Ovis aries: one gene and its partners. The protein of the gene in region 1 interacts with the protein of each later gene in a pairwise test. Links are inferred from orthologs where the notes say so. Each region holds a gene or a part of one and is shown in the gene's direction. Other genes may lie near its edges. The genes, in order: CDC42EP2, CASS4 and ARHGAP26.

Region 1 (5,391 bases):
TCCCTGCATTTGTTTTCTATTGCTACTGTAGCAAATCGCCACCAACATGGGGGCTTTGTTGTTCAGTCGCTCAGTCCTGTCCAACTCTTTGGGACTCCACGGACTGCAGCATGCCGGCCTCCCTATCCTTCACCAACTCCCAGAGCTTGCTCAAACTCATATCCATTGAACTGCTGATGCCATCCAACCATTTCACTCTCTGTCATCCCCTTCTCCTCCTGCCTTCAATCTTTCCCAGCATCAGGGTCTTTTTCAATGAATCGGCTCTTCACATCAGGTGGCCAAAGTACTGGAGCTTCAGCTTCAGCATCAGTCCTTCCAATGAATACTTAGTACCAATTTCCTTTAGGATTGACTGGTTTGATCTCCTTGCAGTCCAAGGGACTCTCAAGAGTCTTGTCCAGCACCACAGTTCAAAGGTACCAATTCTTCGGTGCTCAGCCGTTTTTTATTGTCCAGCTCTCACATCCATAAGCTGGAGGCTTAAAACAACACAAATTTATAAACTTCCAGTCCCATTGATGAGAAGTTCCAACATGGGTCTAAAATCAAGCTCAGTGGGCTGTGTTTCTTCTGGATGCTCGAGGGGACGACCCGCTTCCTTGTTTTTTTCCAGCTTCTAGAGGCTGGCCTGCTTGTGGCCCCTTCCTCCATCTTCCTAAGCAGCAACACAGAGTTTCTGCATCATCACATCTCTTTTTCTGACACTCCAGTCTCCCTCTTCCACTTTAAGAACCATCAGTCATTATTGTGCTGGACCCACCCAGATAATTCCGATAATCTCTCTGGTTTTTTGTTTTGTTTTTTAAAAGCACAACACAATTTTTAAAAACTCATTTATTTGTCTGTGTTGGGTCTTTCTTGCCTCATGTGGGATCTTTTGTTGCAGCACAAGGGCTCTCTAGTTGGGGGTGCACCGGTTTAGTTTCTCTGCTGCACGTGGGATCTTAGTTCCCTACCCAGGGGTAGAACCCATGCCCCTTGCATTGCAGGGTGGCTTCTTAACCACTGGACTACCAGGGAAGTCCCAATCTCTCTGTTTTAAAGTCAGTTGATTAGCAACTCTAATTCCATTGGCAAACTTAATTGTTCTTTGCCATGTAACAAAATACATTCACAGGTTGCCCCTCTTTAGGGGGAGCCATTACTCTGCCTACTGGATTCTGCTTCTCCCCATCCTTCCCTCCCTCCTGGCTTAGCGGACCTTCACCTCCACCCTCAGCATCCTTCCCTCCTTCAGGATGCCTTCCTGACCCCCCTCTCCTCGAGTCCCTCCCACATTTACAGAATGGAAGATTTTATCATCTTGGTCATATTGTACTGTCACAGCTCTCAGGTCCCCTTACCTCAGTACCATCCACCCTTTGCAGGGTATGCCTTTCAGTAAATGTTTCTTCCACTGAATGAACGAATGAACCCACCAACCAACCAATCAATAATCCTCGTGGTCAGCACCATTGGCGAGCCCCAGGACCTCACCCTGCAGCAGCTCAAGCCCCACCCAATCTTGTAAAGAGTCTGAGTACCAGTCCCACCCCCGCCCCGGAAGCCACCTAGCCTGAAGATAAATACGGTAAATACGGGAGTGGCCGGGCCACTCATCCCGCGCACACCCCCAAAGCCTTCCTTTCTAGGAGACGGCAAACTTTTGAAAGCTCTCGGAAGTCTGTAATGTATTGACGTAAGCGCCTCCGAGGCCTCATTCATTTCCTCAGCAGTCACTAAATACTTTTATGCCAGTGCCCTCCAGGGAGGGAACCCTCCGGGGACGCTTCTCTTCTGAATTCTAAAGAATTCGGTCTTCCGGCTACCTCCCCCCTCGGCCGTCGTAGAACCGAGAGTTTTGGCTCTGACGGACATAGCCGGAGTCCGCGGAGTCCAGCTCCATTACCCGACGCGGCCCGGCCCGCAGCCTCCCGAGCTCGGACTGGACCCCCGGGTCCCCGCGGCTGCCGGACCTCTACGCTGCGCCTGGGAAGAGGGAGCCGAAGCGGGCCCGCGAGTGGGGCGAGGCTGTGGGTGTGGCCTAGATGGGGCGGCCCCGGCATTGGCTCTACGGGCAGGGGGCGGGGCCTCAGGGGCCACGGTCTTCCCTGTAAGTTCGCAGCTCAGGTCTATCCCACCGCCGCGCGGTCCAGCTCCTGCGCTTTCGCCTCTCTCGGGTCAGCCGCCTAAACGCGCGTCAAGGTGAGTTCAGGCCCGACTCTGCAGCCAGACCGCGGCTCCTGGGGCGGGGCGGGGTGAGGCGGGGGGTGTCCCTCTAGAGGCCCATCCTTAAGGCGCCTCATCCTTGATCGCGCCTCGGGCCCCAACTCATCTCTACGTAGGTCCTTTCTGCCGTGAGATGCACGGCCTTTCTCACCCGCGCCTCGGTCCCGGCGGCCACGCCCGCGTTCCCCTCGGCCTGCTGGGCGCCGCGCATCCCGAACCCAAATTCCTGGTCCAGTCCTCCATGCTGCGCCGGGCCCCCCGCCCCACCCCCGGGACCCGGGAGTGCCCTCCTGCCTTTCAGCGCTCTCGCCTGGACCCGGGGTCGTATTTTTAGTAGACGGTGAGGTGTCCTCCTATCTTTAGCCGTGGCCGCGAGTGTCCTGAAACGGATCCGGACTGGGCTGGGCTGCGCTCGAATAGAGGGCGGGGAGGGGGTCGGCCCCGGAACCGGAGCTGGGGCTGAGTAGCAGGACCCGCCGGAGCCACGGGGCGGGGGCCGCACGCCCGAACTCTGGCCCTGCGCCGAGCGGACACTCGGACATCGCCTAGGCCGGAAAGCACAGGGGAGGCCCCTCCCTGAGCTTGGATAACCGGGCAGGGTCCCCGATCGCTCCCTCTTCCCCCTATTGTCTGGTTGTGAGCCCAGAATCCTCCAAGGGAAGAAAATCCTGCAGACAGTCCCCACCTGGTACGCGAACGTGCGTGCGTCTCCTTGGGAGGCGCCTGCCTAGAACTGTAGATTCGCTCGAGACCCCGGTGCGTGCAGGACCCCTCCGGGACAAGGAGCGGTAGAGGGAGAGCGCGCGCCACCTGGTGGCCACGGAACCGAGCGCTGCTCTGCACAGGGAAGTTGGGAGACCCCGCGGCCAGCGAGGGCGCCTGTACTGGAGGACCCCGCCGCCCAGGGGCTGCTCTTTTTCGGTCTTGTCTGGAGCACTGTCCCCGGAGAACCAGAATGCTTGAGGAAGTCCCTATAGCTATTTGTTGAATAAATGTCGAGGCTGACAGTGACCCGCTAACCCCCTCCTACATCCACACTCTCTCTGACTTCCAGTAACTCCCTGGTAATGGCCTTGTTGTCATCCCATTTCATGGATGAGGAAGGTGAGGACCAGAGAGAAAAGATGTTTTCCAGGTAGCAATGGGTTCAAGGTTGGGGGCCTACCTTTGGATCATCCCTGGTGGGGAGTGGCCTAGTATTCCTTGTGAGGAGGGGGCTCTGCCTCCAAGAAGTCATTACCTCTGAAGGAGGCCCCGGGCTCTTTCCAGAGCAGGCCCACAGAGCTGGGATGGCTCCTATCTACTCCTTCCAAAGCTGCAGGGTGCAGCACAGCCCAGCCCAGCCCCTAGAGCCTTGTCCTGATGGACAGCTCATTCTCATATATCTGGACACTTGCACGTTGAGAGATGGAAGCAGCCAAGAGGTAGGACTTAAATGGAGGAGGCTTGGGGACCTGGCAACCCCAGCCCAGGTGGATCCGTTTCCCTCTTGCTCCCCAGGCAGTGCACATATTTTGGCATGGCCCATTGTATCAGAGCCACTGGACTCAGCTGGGTAGCCGTGCCCACTCTTCCTCTTACTAGCTGGGTTATCTGGGCAGAGTTGCTTGATGTCTCTGAGATTCAGCTTCTGCCTCTGTAAAGGCCAGTGATGACACTGTGTTGTGCCTCGGAGGTTAAATTGGAAACCATGCAAGCCTAGCTGGAGCGTGGGGTCTTGGAGTTGCCAAATCTGAATATTTGGGGCTTGATGGTTGCAGTTCCCAGCTCTCCCCTGGTGGTTGACACTGGCCCAACCCTCCCCCCCCCCAGCCTCAGTTCTCCTCACATCTGGAATTGGGTGGATACATCTGGCTCAGAGCTCGAGAGCTGTCAGGGACGCCGGATCTGTTGTGGAAACACTCAGGCTGTCTTGGCGGCCCTGTATGATGGAGGGTGGGAGGAGGGGGGAGGTCTGGCCCAAGTTCTGGGCAGATCCCACCAGTTGGCCTCCTTCTCCATGAGTGAAAAGGAAGGAAAACTATCCCAGGATTTCTCGCCTGCCAAGGGGACAGATAGGATATATGTCAGCATGCCTCCAGACCTGGCATGGTGGGCACAGATAAATGTCTTTTAGGTAAATGAGTGATGGGAGTCCAGGACCTCAGAGCACGTCCTGCCTCCCTCCCCTGCCCCCCCAGCTCCTTCCAAGCTTAGCTGGAATTCTGCCACTGGAGAGTCATTCCTTTGTTTCCTGTTAAGCTGCAGGTGCTCTGGGAGGGGCAAGATGTCCGGTCTCTGGCTCAGCACCACTGACCCGAGCTGTCCGGTCCTGGGGTGGGGTTTCCTGAGTAAGGGCCTGGCTGGGGGGAGGGCTGTAGTTGGGATTCTGCCTCTCCTGCATCCTCCTTCCTCCTTCCTGCTCCCTCCTGCCAGCCCCCTCCTTCTTCTTTCACCCTGCTCCTGAGGCTGAATGCTGCAGAGGGGACTTCCCTGGTGGTCCAGTGGCTAAAACTCCGTGCTCCCAATACAGGGATCCTGGGTTCAATCCCTGGTCAGGGAACTAGAAGATCCCATGTGCCACAAGTAAGAGTTTGCTTACTGTAACTAAAGACCCTAGTGCAACAACTAAGACCCGACACAGTCAGATAAATTAAAAAAAAAAAAGAAGAAGAAGAATGGAGCAGAGGAACTGGCAGAGGCTTCTTGACCCTTCCCCAGCGATTTCCCACCTGCTCAGCCCCTCCTGGCCCCAGGAGGGTGGGCTCACGTGGTCACCCATTGGGCGACTTTGGACAAGTTTCTTTGCCTTTCGTGCTGATTCTACACATCAGGCCAGTCCCCTGCTGCGGGAACTAGAGGCAGTGCTTGTTCCACTTCCTTTTTCTGTTAAACCTGTATGACATCCCTCCAGAGTGTATTTATTTTTTCCACCTTCAAAATATCTGTGTTTATTCTGACTACATGAATAATATGTGCTCATAAATAATACATGCTTCTTATTAAGCATTTGAGCTTATAGAAGTATGAGCAAGAAAGGGGAAGTCACCTGAAATTCTACCATCTTGAGAGAACTACCATCAACATTTGGCAACCATCCTTTCATAGTTAGCTTATGTATATCATTTTTTAGTAAAGAGACCAGATATTAAATATAATTTTTATTGAGGGCAACTTTTCCTCCCATGTCACAGACCCCAC
Region 2 (4,191 bases), on another chromosome or scaffold:
TCCCAGGCTTCGGACCTGGCAAAGGACACAGGTGGGAAGCAAGCTCTCACATGACCCTTATAAGAGCACTAATCCCCCACTCTGGGGGCCATGAACCACCGGGGAAGCCCTAATTCTAGTCACCACCTCCCAAAGGCTCCATCTCCTAATACCTTTCCCTTGAGGGGTTAGAATTTCATGATACAAATTTTAGGGAGACACAGTCAGACCATAACACAGTCTGAGTGCTTCTGAGCTGTGAGTTTTGAGATCTTAGATTGATAAAAGGGTGTAGTTTAACAAAGAATGAGAATTTTAGGCTTGCTGACTTGGCTTAGAGCTCCAGAGCTTTTTTTCAGTATTTATTTATATATTTGGCTGCACCACGTCTTAGTTGTGGCATGTGGGATCTAGCTCCCTGACCAGGGATTTAAGCCTGGGTCCCTCCATTGGGAATGTGAGTCTTAACCACTGGACTGCCGGGGAAGTCCAGCCCTCCAATCTTTATTTTGCTAATTGAGTGACCCTAGGTGACCTCTTCTCTTCCGGGATACTCAGTCTCCTCACCTATCACCTAACAAAGGGGATTTTGATTGTTACCTGGGGTGGCTGACACTAAATTTGATGCTGAGAATCTTTCACTAGTGAATAGGCTTTGGCGCCACATTGCAGAAAATAAAATTAACGAAAGTAAAATTCTAAATGAAACTTTAACTAGCAAGTAAGATAAATATTTTAATCTTGAAGCAAATAGGTCAGTATATTTTGATTTCTTTTGGAAATTTGGGGGAATTCAAGTTTACCTCTTATACTGGAATTAGGAAGGATTTTTTTGTAATGCTTTAAAACCTATTCTTTGAGTAAATTTTAAAATTACTCAATTTAAAATTTTAAAATTGCTCACCATCAACTCTCCTGCATTTTTTAAAATTTATAAATTTAGGGGACTTGGCTGTGGTCCAGTGGTTAAGACGTTGCCTTCCAGTGCAAGGGGTGTGGTTTGGGAGCTAAGTTCCCACATGCCTGGAAGTAAAAAAAAAAACAAAATGTAAAGCAGAAGCAATATTGTAACAAATTCAATAAAAACATTAAAAAAGGATCAACATAAAAAGAAAAAACTTTTAAAAAAAGGTATAAATTTAGTCATTGTCAGTAAGTTTCTTAGAATGGGTTTGTAATTGTTTGTTGAGAGGATTGAATATAATTTTATGTATATCTAATATGAATGATTATATATAACACAATATATAAGATTATATTTATAAGGAAGCTTTAAAAAGGATTTCCCTGGTGGCTCAGCAGTAAAGAACCTCCTTGTCAATGAGATGGCAAGGACCCAGGATTTGATCCCTGGGTCGGGAAGATTTCCTGGAGGAGGAAATGGCAACCTACTCCAGTATTCTTGCCTGGAGAATCCCATGGACAGAGGAGCCTGGCGGGCTACAGTCCTTTGGGTCACAAAAGAGTTGGACAGGATTTAGCAACTAAACAACACAACATGCTTTGAATTAACATTAATTTGTTAGGCAGAATGTTACACCTGCACATGGAGCTTCCCAAACAAAACTATACTTTTTCTTATAAAAAGTCTGCAAATTAAGCAAAAACAGGAGAAGAGAGACAGTCACAGCCTGTTGCTCGCATCTCTCTAATCTGTCATCTTCTTCCCCTTCTCTAGAATTCCAGCTCCCTGGTCCCCCGGCCTTTGAGTCAGCAGAATCCTGAGAAGAAAATTCGCCTTTCTGAACATTGCCGCCTCTATTTTGGGGCGCTCTTCAAAGCCATCGGCGTGCTGAACAGCAGCCTCCAGAACAGCCAACCCCCCGAGACCTTCATCACGCAGAGCAAGCTGGTCATCACGGTCGGGCAGAAGCTGGTGGACAGGCTGTGCCGGGAGACCCAGGAGCGGGACGTGCGCAATGAGATCCTGAGAGGCAGCAGCTGCCTCTGCAGCCTGCTCAAGGACTTAGCGCTGGCCACCAAGCAAGCCGTGCTCCAGCACCCCAGCCCCGCCGCCCTGCAGCACCTCCAGGCTGAAGCCAAGAAGCTGGAACAGCATGCACAGCAATTCAGGGGGATGTTGGAATAAGCCTCCTTCTCCCTGTTAAACTCTTCACTTCAGTTGCACACCCACAACCTGTGCAAGTCTGTCCTCTGGGAAAAACCAACCTGGGGGTATACAGTGGATGGCAATCGTCATGGTGCCCAAACCCAGTGTTACCGAGGGTCTGGGCAACTCCAGGGTATTGGCTTATCCCACAGAGTCAGGGAGGAGTTAGGTGTGAAGAAAGGACCTATCGTGTAGGGCCAATGTGTGAAATGAGGTTGTGGAATCCAGTTTTTTATATTAGCTCAATGTGTGCCTGTTTTAAGTTCATTCATTCATTCAGTACTTATTTATTGGGTATCTATTGTATGTTAAATTCTAGGTGCTGGGCATGTAGCACTGAATCAGACCAAGGCTTTGCCCTCAGGGCATTTACAGTCTAGTGGGGAGACAGACAAATGATGAAGAAGTGCATACACAATATATTAGGTGCTAGGGAGAAGCCTACTTTGGGGCTTCTTTGGGGGCTCAGTGGTAAAGAACCCACCTGCCAATGCAGGAGACGTGGTTCGATCCCTGGTTTGGGAAGATCCCCTGGAGAAGGAGATGGCAACCCACTCCAGTATTCTTTCCTGGGAAATCCCATGGACAGAGGAGTTGGGCAGACTACAGTCCATGGGTTGGCAAGAGAGTCAGACATGACTGAGCGACTGACTAAACAACAGGGAGAAAATAGAATATGAGAATGGGGGCAGAGATTATTTTCAAGTGATTAATTTCTGTTGCATCTGCTAGAAAATGTAGTAAAATTTTCAGTTTGGATAGAATTAATTCTGTGAGACTGGTACAAATTCTGTATCTGTGACTTATACCAAATATGTATATATATATTTGCTGTTTTATCTGAACAGAGTTAAACAGCATGTTATAAGTAGCAGTAAATTTGTAACATAATATGTTCTATTGGGTTCCCTATTTATTTTGTACATTATAGATTCTGTGTTAATAAATTCAACACATGGATTGAACGTTTAGTATGTTCAATCAGAAAAGGTTTATACCTCAATAGTCTCAAATGTGTTACCATTTATAATATTATGTCAATACAGTCATGAATTGAAACGTCCTTTGCACCAGTCTTTTCTTTGGAAAGATGTTTGATCTTTGTCACTTGGGTTCTGGTACCAAAGCAAAATGTTTATTTGTGTCACGCGAATGCTTCTCCCCAAAGTGTGCAAGGAGAGGAAGTAGAGGCCAAGTTTGCACATGCACCGCTAGCTCGGGAAAAGTAGAGCCAGGAAGTGTGGTATAAACAGCATCCCTATCACTGGGCACAGATCTGAGAGTGACCCAGAATTCCCCCTACTCCCCCGCGCCAAGTCAAACACCTCCTCTTCCTGTCCTTGCAGCTGGGGCTTTAGTTCACGTTTCTATGGTTACCTCATCACTTCAAGTGGAGGTTCAGGTCTTCTATGTGCCCCTCTGCCATGAGCCATCTCTAGGCTGGAAATTACCTGAAATGGTACCAGCTGCAGTTCCTATCTGCTACTCTGCACTTTTAAATTGTTGACTACCAAAAGACTGATTGTATACATGGAGTTACTCTCAGGGTCCCTAAAGAAGGATGCTGTCCTGGTGAGGCTTGGTTCTCTGCGCTAGACTAGAGACATTTTCTGGGAGCAGCCATGATCTGTGTCAGTTAGGACTCCTGATACCATCTCTCTTAAGCAATAAAAGGAATGTATTGACTCAAGTATCTTAACATAATCCAGGGGCAAGCTGGCTTCCAAAACAGCTGCTTTGGATACCCCCAGCAGAATCATCAAGGCCCAATTTATGAACCCCACTTTCTCTGTGTTAGCTCTCATGGTTTCAAGGTGTCTGCCATGAGTTATGGTCTTTCTTGGTCTATGGCCAGAGGGGAAGAAAGAGTCTTCTTTTCTGCTTGGACTAGTTTAGATCAGATGTCTGCCCCTAATAACTCCATGGTAAGACAGGGGTATAATACCTGAGGTGTCCTAGACCTGAGATTCACCCCTACACACAGACACACAGACACACAGACACACACACACACACACACACACACAGAGCCATGTGTTCCTAGACAGATAAGGAGATGGCTCTAGCAAGAACTGTGAAATGTCTTCCCTTACTTCAAAGTA
Region 3 (5,391 bases), on another chromosome or scaffold:
TGAGGTTATTGATATTTCTCCTGGCAATCTTGATTAACCCAGTCAAGCTCTTCCCCAAATTCCTGATCCACAGAGATTAGGAGAGAAAATACAATGATCATATTTTGCTTTAATCTATTAAGTTTTGGTGTGATTTGTTATGTATTACTTAAGAGCCAGAACACCTACTTTTAAGTGCTCAAGATATAGCATTAAGCAGATTTAGTTTCATGGAATTCCATTCCACATCTTTCTCATTCTTGGCAACTGAGGAACAACTATTTTCAGACTTTTAATTATCCATTTGATAACTGTTTGGGCCTGCTATCAAATCTAAATTTGTAGCTACAACTGGCAAACAGATCACATTCATTCATTCATGCATTTAATAAATCAATACCTCCATGTAGATGACTTCTCTAGCTCCCGAGTTAGCATTGCCTTCTCAACGTTCCCAACTTACTATGCAGCATTGCTATTGCTTGTCGCTTTTCTATCCCACTAACCAGTAGCAGACAGGTTCATTCTGTGTTATTCATCTTCGCATCTTTAGTATCTAGTCTAGTGCCTGCACATAGCAGACCTATGTAAAAACAAAAACAAAGACAACCAAACAAACAAAAAACAAGCCACATACACACACACAAAACCACCTAACTGGAGGGCTCCTCCTTCCTAGACATACGAATAATTTATTCAAAGACAGTCCCTTTCCTCTAGCACTTCATAGTTCAGCACTGGACACTGTGGGATCCAGACTGACAGGTGCAGTTAGTGAGCTGCCTGGATTGATTACTGTGGTGGAACCCAAGGGCAATAGGGCAACACATTACAGGAAAGTGGAAAGTGGAGAAAGACACGGGAACGGATCCATTCGTTTATTCCACAAATCCTTATCAATCGCCGTTGCACATATAGCACAAGGGAAGCGCTCAGTATCTGTTACTAGATGCCAGCCACTGTTCTAGGCGTTAGGGATGCCGCAGCGCACAAGAAAGCGGCGGTGGCTCATTTCGTAGTCTTGAAGCTCACAGTATTTATTGCAAAGGACTACAGGCAGTGGACGTAATTATGTAAAATTGTGTGAGGTGCCCAGCAGGAAAACAGGCGGCTGAAATTCTTGAAAGGATGTTAGATCTTTCGGTTGGGGGCAGCCGTGGGCGGGTTTTGAGCAGGAGTGGCCTTGAGGGGGCCGGACTGTAGGGGGCGGGAAGACTGCAGGCCAGAAGAGCTGGTAGTTTTAAGATGTAAGTATGTTTTGCTTGAGTGGAAGAAGGAGCTTGTGTCTAGGGGCGACGTGGTCGCTTGGTACGCTCGGGGTTCTCCTGGGACGTGCGCGAGTGCTAAGTCGCTTCAGTTGTGTCCGACTGGGGAATGCATTTTGAGTGTAAGCACGATTGCCTCAGCCTTAGGGGAACTGCAGCCCTAAATTCCTAGATTTTTCATGTTCGGCACATCTAGGCTCCTCCGCTTCCCAGATATGCAGACGCACCGTCTCCGGCTCGGATCCCGGCCGCTGCGCTGGCCCATTCGGCAGCAATCTTCGTTCCTTCCCGGCTCCGACTGTGCAACCCAGAGCAGACGGGAGAGGGCGGAGCTTGTGCTGCGGACCTAGGCGGTGGCGTGGGCCACGCCCCCGACTTAGACCCCGCCTCTGGACCCCGTTGATTGGGTTATGGTCGCGGAAGGGCCGGGCATCCTCGGAAGGCCCGTGGGTAGGGCTGAGACGGGGTTCTGATTGGCTTGGCTGGGATTAGGTCATTGCTAGCAGGTTCGTCCGGCTCGGACGCCGGCTGGGCGGCCGAGGCTGCTGTGAGAGGGCGCTCGAAGCTGCAGGAGAGCGAACTGGCGAGGGAGGCGGGCAGGCGGCTGCTGCACTCGCTCGACTGGTCGTTCCCTTCCCGTCGCCGCTGCGGGTCCTCAGCTGCTCTTCCTGCTCCGCGCCCTCTCGGTTACACGCCGTTGGAGCAGACGCTCTTCGTTCGCCTCCAGGCTCTGTTCAGGAATCGTGCGCGCCCGCGGACACCGCGCTGAGACCGAGCCGGCGCCACACCTGTGGAGCCGGCGGCCGTCGGGGGTGCCGGCCAGGGTCTCGCCGCGTGCGTGCTCCGGGCTGCGGGCCGCCGGAGCCCTGGGGGAGGCGCGCCCCCCGGCTGGGCGCCGCGGACACCATGGGGCTGCCCGCGCTCGAATTCAGTGACTGCTGCCTCGACAGCCCTCACTTCCGAGAGACGCTGAAGTCGCACGAAGCGGAGCTGGACAAGACCAACAAATTCATCAAGGAGCTCATCAAGGACGGGAAGTCACTCATCAGCGCGCTCAAGAGTGAGTGCCCGGGAGCCTGGCGGGGACGGTGCTCCGGGGCGGGAGGGGCCGTCGGGCGGCGCTCAGACCTAGGGGTCCCGCGCCCGGCTGGATTTCTGCCCCCGGGCGCTGAGGGACGGGCGTAGACCTTTGTCGCGAAGCGGAAAGGATACGTAAAATGGGCGAGCTAGCAACAAGACAGTGAAGGCAGAGACCCGTCACCCGGCCGTTTGCGTTCCGAGGGGACTGGGAGGTGACCGAGCGCGAGTAGCGCTCTGGGGCGCCGCGGGTGGGTGTGCGCGTCACACAGGTGTCTCAGGAGTGGGACTGGAGTGCCTGGAGCACCGTAGCATATTGGGAAACCCCTTCGCGTCCACGACTCCGGCTTCCTTGGGGGAGAGTTGCTCACCCCTGAGTGCCCAGCCGTGGGAATGGAGCGTGCCCTGCCAAGGGGGCGCTGCCTCCCCTCAGGAAAAGGCGGGTTGTGCCTGCTTCACTCCCGCCTGCTCAGGGCCGCCGGGGTCTCCGAGAGATCTCCTTCCCTTCCCAGAAAAGGGCTGGGTAGGGTGGTTGGTCAGCTCGCGATTCTTTGGAATAGTGGCAGCTTTTAACCCACCAGATCTAGAATCAGGGCCACGTACGTGTGCAGGTTCTGATTCTTGTGTTTAGCAGAAGGTGATAGGGGTGGGAGTACAGAATCAGAGTGTTCCTTTACTCTAAACTGTGGGCGAGGGTTTAAAAATAGAACGAACATATCCTCTCCCTCTCTCGCTCCCTCACTCTGCTTTTTTTACCTCTCCCAATATCCTTGAAAACTCAAAGGTTTGGGAAGGAATGTCCTCGATCTTCGCTCAGAAAGAAGTTTAAACTTATCCTTAGAGATTTTCGAACCTTTTGCAAAACCATTTTTGCAAATTTCCCTTTGGCAGGGGAGAAATGAAATTTACATTCTGTGTATGATTTCCCTTGTCATTTGCAGAGCCAGAGAGTGTCTCCTTCTGGCCAAACGAGTGCTCTAGGGATGGATGCCTTGGATTGCTGAGCTCCTTTTTTTGGGTGCCTTTCCTGTCTACCCATTTAAGAATAATTTGGTCCATCTTTTATTTTTAAGAATCAGAAATAACATAAAGGCAGATAGTGGAATTGTCTTTCACTTGACTTTTCCTTTCTCTTTGCTGCATTTCTTAATAGGTGATATCTTTCAACTAGGAAAGCTTGTCTTGGCAGAGTGCAGCCGTGGGCCTGAGAATTGTCACCAAGTCTCTTTGAAGGAGACTTAAAGTCAAGTGCCTGAGATGTCATTTTGTGAGCCTGTTGTTTCTAAAGATGAAGAAGACAGAGGAGCCCCAGGGCAGCAAGTGGTAGTCTTTTGAGGTGAAATAAAAGTAGAACTTTGGTGTGCTGAGGCTCTTCAGAGGCAGGGTCTCTGTTGGAGGTTGTGACCAGAAGCAAATGAATAGACTCTTCTTTTGTTGATGACCAGGGCCGTCCTTAGAATATGTGACCCCTAGTTTGGACTAAGTTAGGGGCTCACTTACAGGTTGGGCCCACACATTTTGTTTGAATCTCAGACTGGCTTTAATTGGGCCTCTGCTTTATTCAGCAAACATCTGGAGTGCCTGCTGTGTGCTCGATATTACCCTGGGCACTGAGGATGTAGTAGTGACTGTTCTGTTGTTCCTGTGGCTGTGGAGACTTACTCCAAACTAGGCACTGCTTCACCCACAAATTATCTCACGTATTATAACTCATCTTTCAAATGAGAAAGCAGGCTTGAAAGAATCACTGGCTGAGAGTCTCACCGCTCTAAGAGCAGGGCTGTTTTTGTCTCCCGCAGGGTCTGAGCCAGAGATGAAGTTCCTGCTGATGTTGAGCTCTTAATTCTGTCTCATTCCTCTTGCCCAGAATGGAGCCCCTGGTCCGAGAGTGTTGGAATTTGGACTTGCATTTTGTATCTTAGCCTTGAGTCTGAGGAAGATGCCTTTATGTGATTGGCAGTTTATCTGCTTGCCACTATTTTTAAGGTGTGTATGGGGGAGGAACTTAAGAATTCTTTGGGTAGGAGGAAACAGTACAGGTGATAAAGAGTTTTTTAAATTGTCTAATGAATGGACCAGCTCTATAACTTGGGGGAGAGCTAGGTGTTCTAATCTCTTAATATCTAGCTCTATTACTAACTATTCTCTTCTACTCTTATTAGTGCTTGAACAGGTGCCACATGCCCTCTTAAAGAGGGTGGAGAGGATTATTAATTCCTGAACTTCAGGCATTGTGTTATCATTGGGTCCTTCTTGCATGGTATATTACTATGCTAGTATATGTGTATTCATTTTCTTTGGATCATCTTTATCACTTCTGCAAAATGTAAAGCGTTTTAAAAAATATATATATAAAAATACATAATTGTGTAAAAGTAACATTGGTTTAGATGATTTATAGGCTCTTCCCTCTCTAAAATTTTATGGCTTTACTTTATAATTAGTATGCACAGATTTTTGGGTTTAGATTTCCTTTGTGTGTTAATCTGAGGCAATAATACTGGCCTCCAGGGATTGCTGAAGTTCAGCTAGATCATTGCTCTTTATGAATGAGGAAACTGAAGATCAGAGAGATCAGTAACCTGCCCAAGGCATCACAGCAGTTAAGTGTACTTAAACATAAGTTATCTGATTCCAGAGCCTGTGCACTTAACTGTGAAGTAGAAATGTTGTGTAGGTCTGTTGTCTATTGAATACCCTTGAGAATCTGGTAAACAAGGCAGCTAAGCAATAAAATAATTTGGGACCTGCATTTCAAAAACTCCTGCCTTTGGAGAAAGTTCTTGTTTGATGTGGTGACTCCCAGTCAATTTCTTCTGTGCTAATTTGTCTAGGCATTTTCTGTGAGCACTCTTTCCTTAACCTGATTAATCTGTCTCAGTCCAGAGGATTCAGTATGCTTTGGTCCTTTTTTCTTTCTGGAGAGATAATAGAGGCTGGCGATGACGTTCAGACTTGTAGAATTAAGGGTTTTAGGATTTTCTGTGTTCTTGACCTTATCACTTACTGGACAAGGCACTAAGCCTGAGCTCCTCCTGTGTAAAATGGGAAGAGCCACGCTGACCTCCTA

The links.
Region 2: the proteins of CDC42EP2 (region 1) and CASS4 interact in binary tests that used the Homo sapiens proteins (3 or more experiments, as listed by UniProt). The link is inferred for Ovis aries from reciprocal best matches to the Homo sapiens genes CDC42EP2 and CASS4.
Region 3: the proteins of CDC42EP2 (region 1) and ARHGAP26 interact in binary tests that used the Homo sapiens proteins (3 or more experiments, as listed by UniProt). The two-hybrid records come from large-scale screens. The link is inferred for Ovis aries from reciprocal best matches to the Homo sapiens genes CDC42EP2 and ARHGAP26.

Annotation. Positions count from the first base shown.
Region 1 is NC_056074.1:39,966,837-39,972,227, forward strand, and holds the start of CDC42EP2 (cdc42 effector protein 2), read left to right. Parts: upstream 1-2,114; 5' UTR 2,115-2,187; intron 2,188-5,391. UniProt on the Homo sapiens protein: Probably involved in the organization of the actin cytoskeleton. May act downstream of CDC42 to induce actin filament assembly leading to cell shape changes. Induces pseudopodia formation in fibroblasts in a CDC42-dependent manner.
Region 2 is NC_056066.1:59,155,433-59,159,623, reverse strand, and holds the end of CASS4 (cas scaffolding protein family member 4), read left to right. Parts: intron 1-1,657; coding exon 1,658-2,068; 3' UTR 2,069-3,152; downstream 3,153-4,191. UniProt on the Homo sapiens protein: Docking protein that plays a role in tyrosine kinase-based signaling related to cell adhesion and cell spreading. Regulates PTK2/FAK1 activity, focal adhesion integrity, and cell spreading.
Region 3 is NC_056058.1:51,459,302-51,464,692, forward strand, and holds the start of ARHGAP26 (rho GTPase-activating protein 26), read left to right. Parts: upstream 1-1,805; 5' UTR 1,806-2,150; coding exon 2,151-2,304; intron 2,305-5,391. UniProt on the Homo sapiens protein: GTPase-activating protein for RHOA and CDC42. Facilitates mitochondrial quality control by promoting Parkin-mediated recruitment of autophagosomes to damaged mitochondria.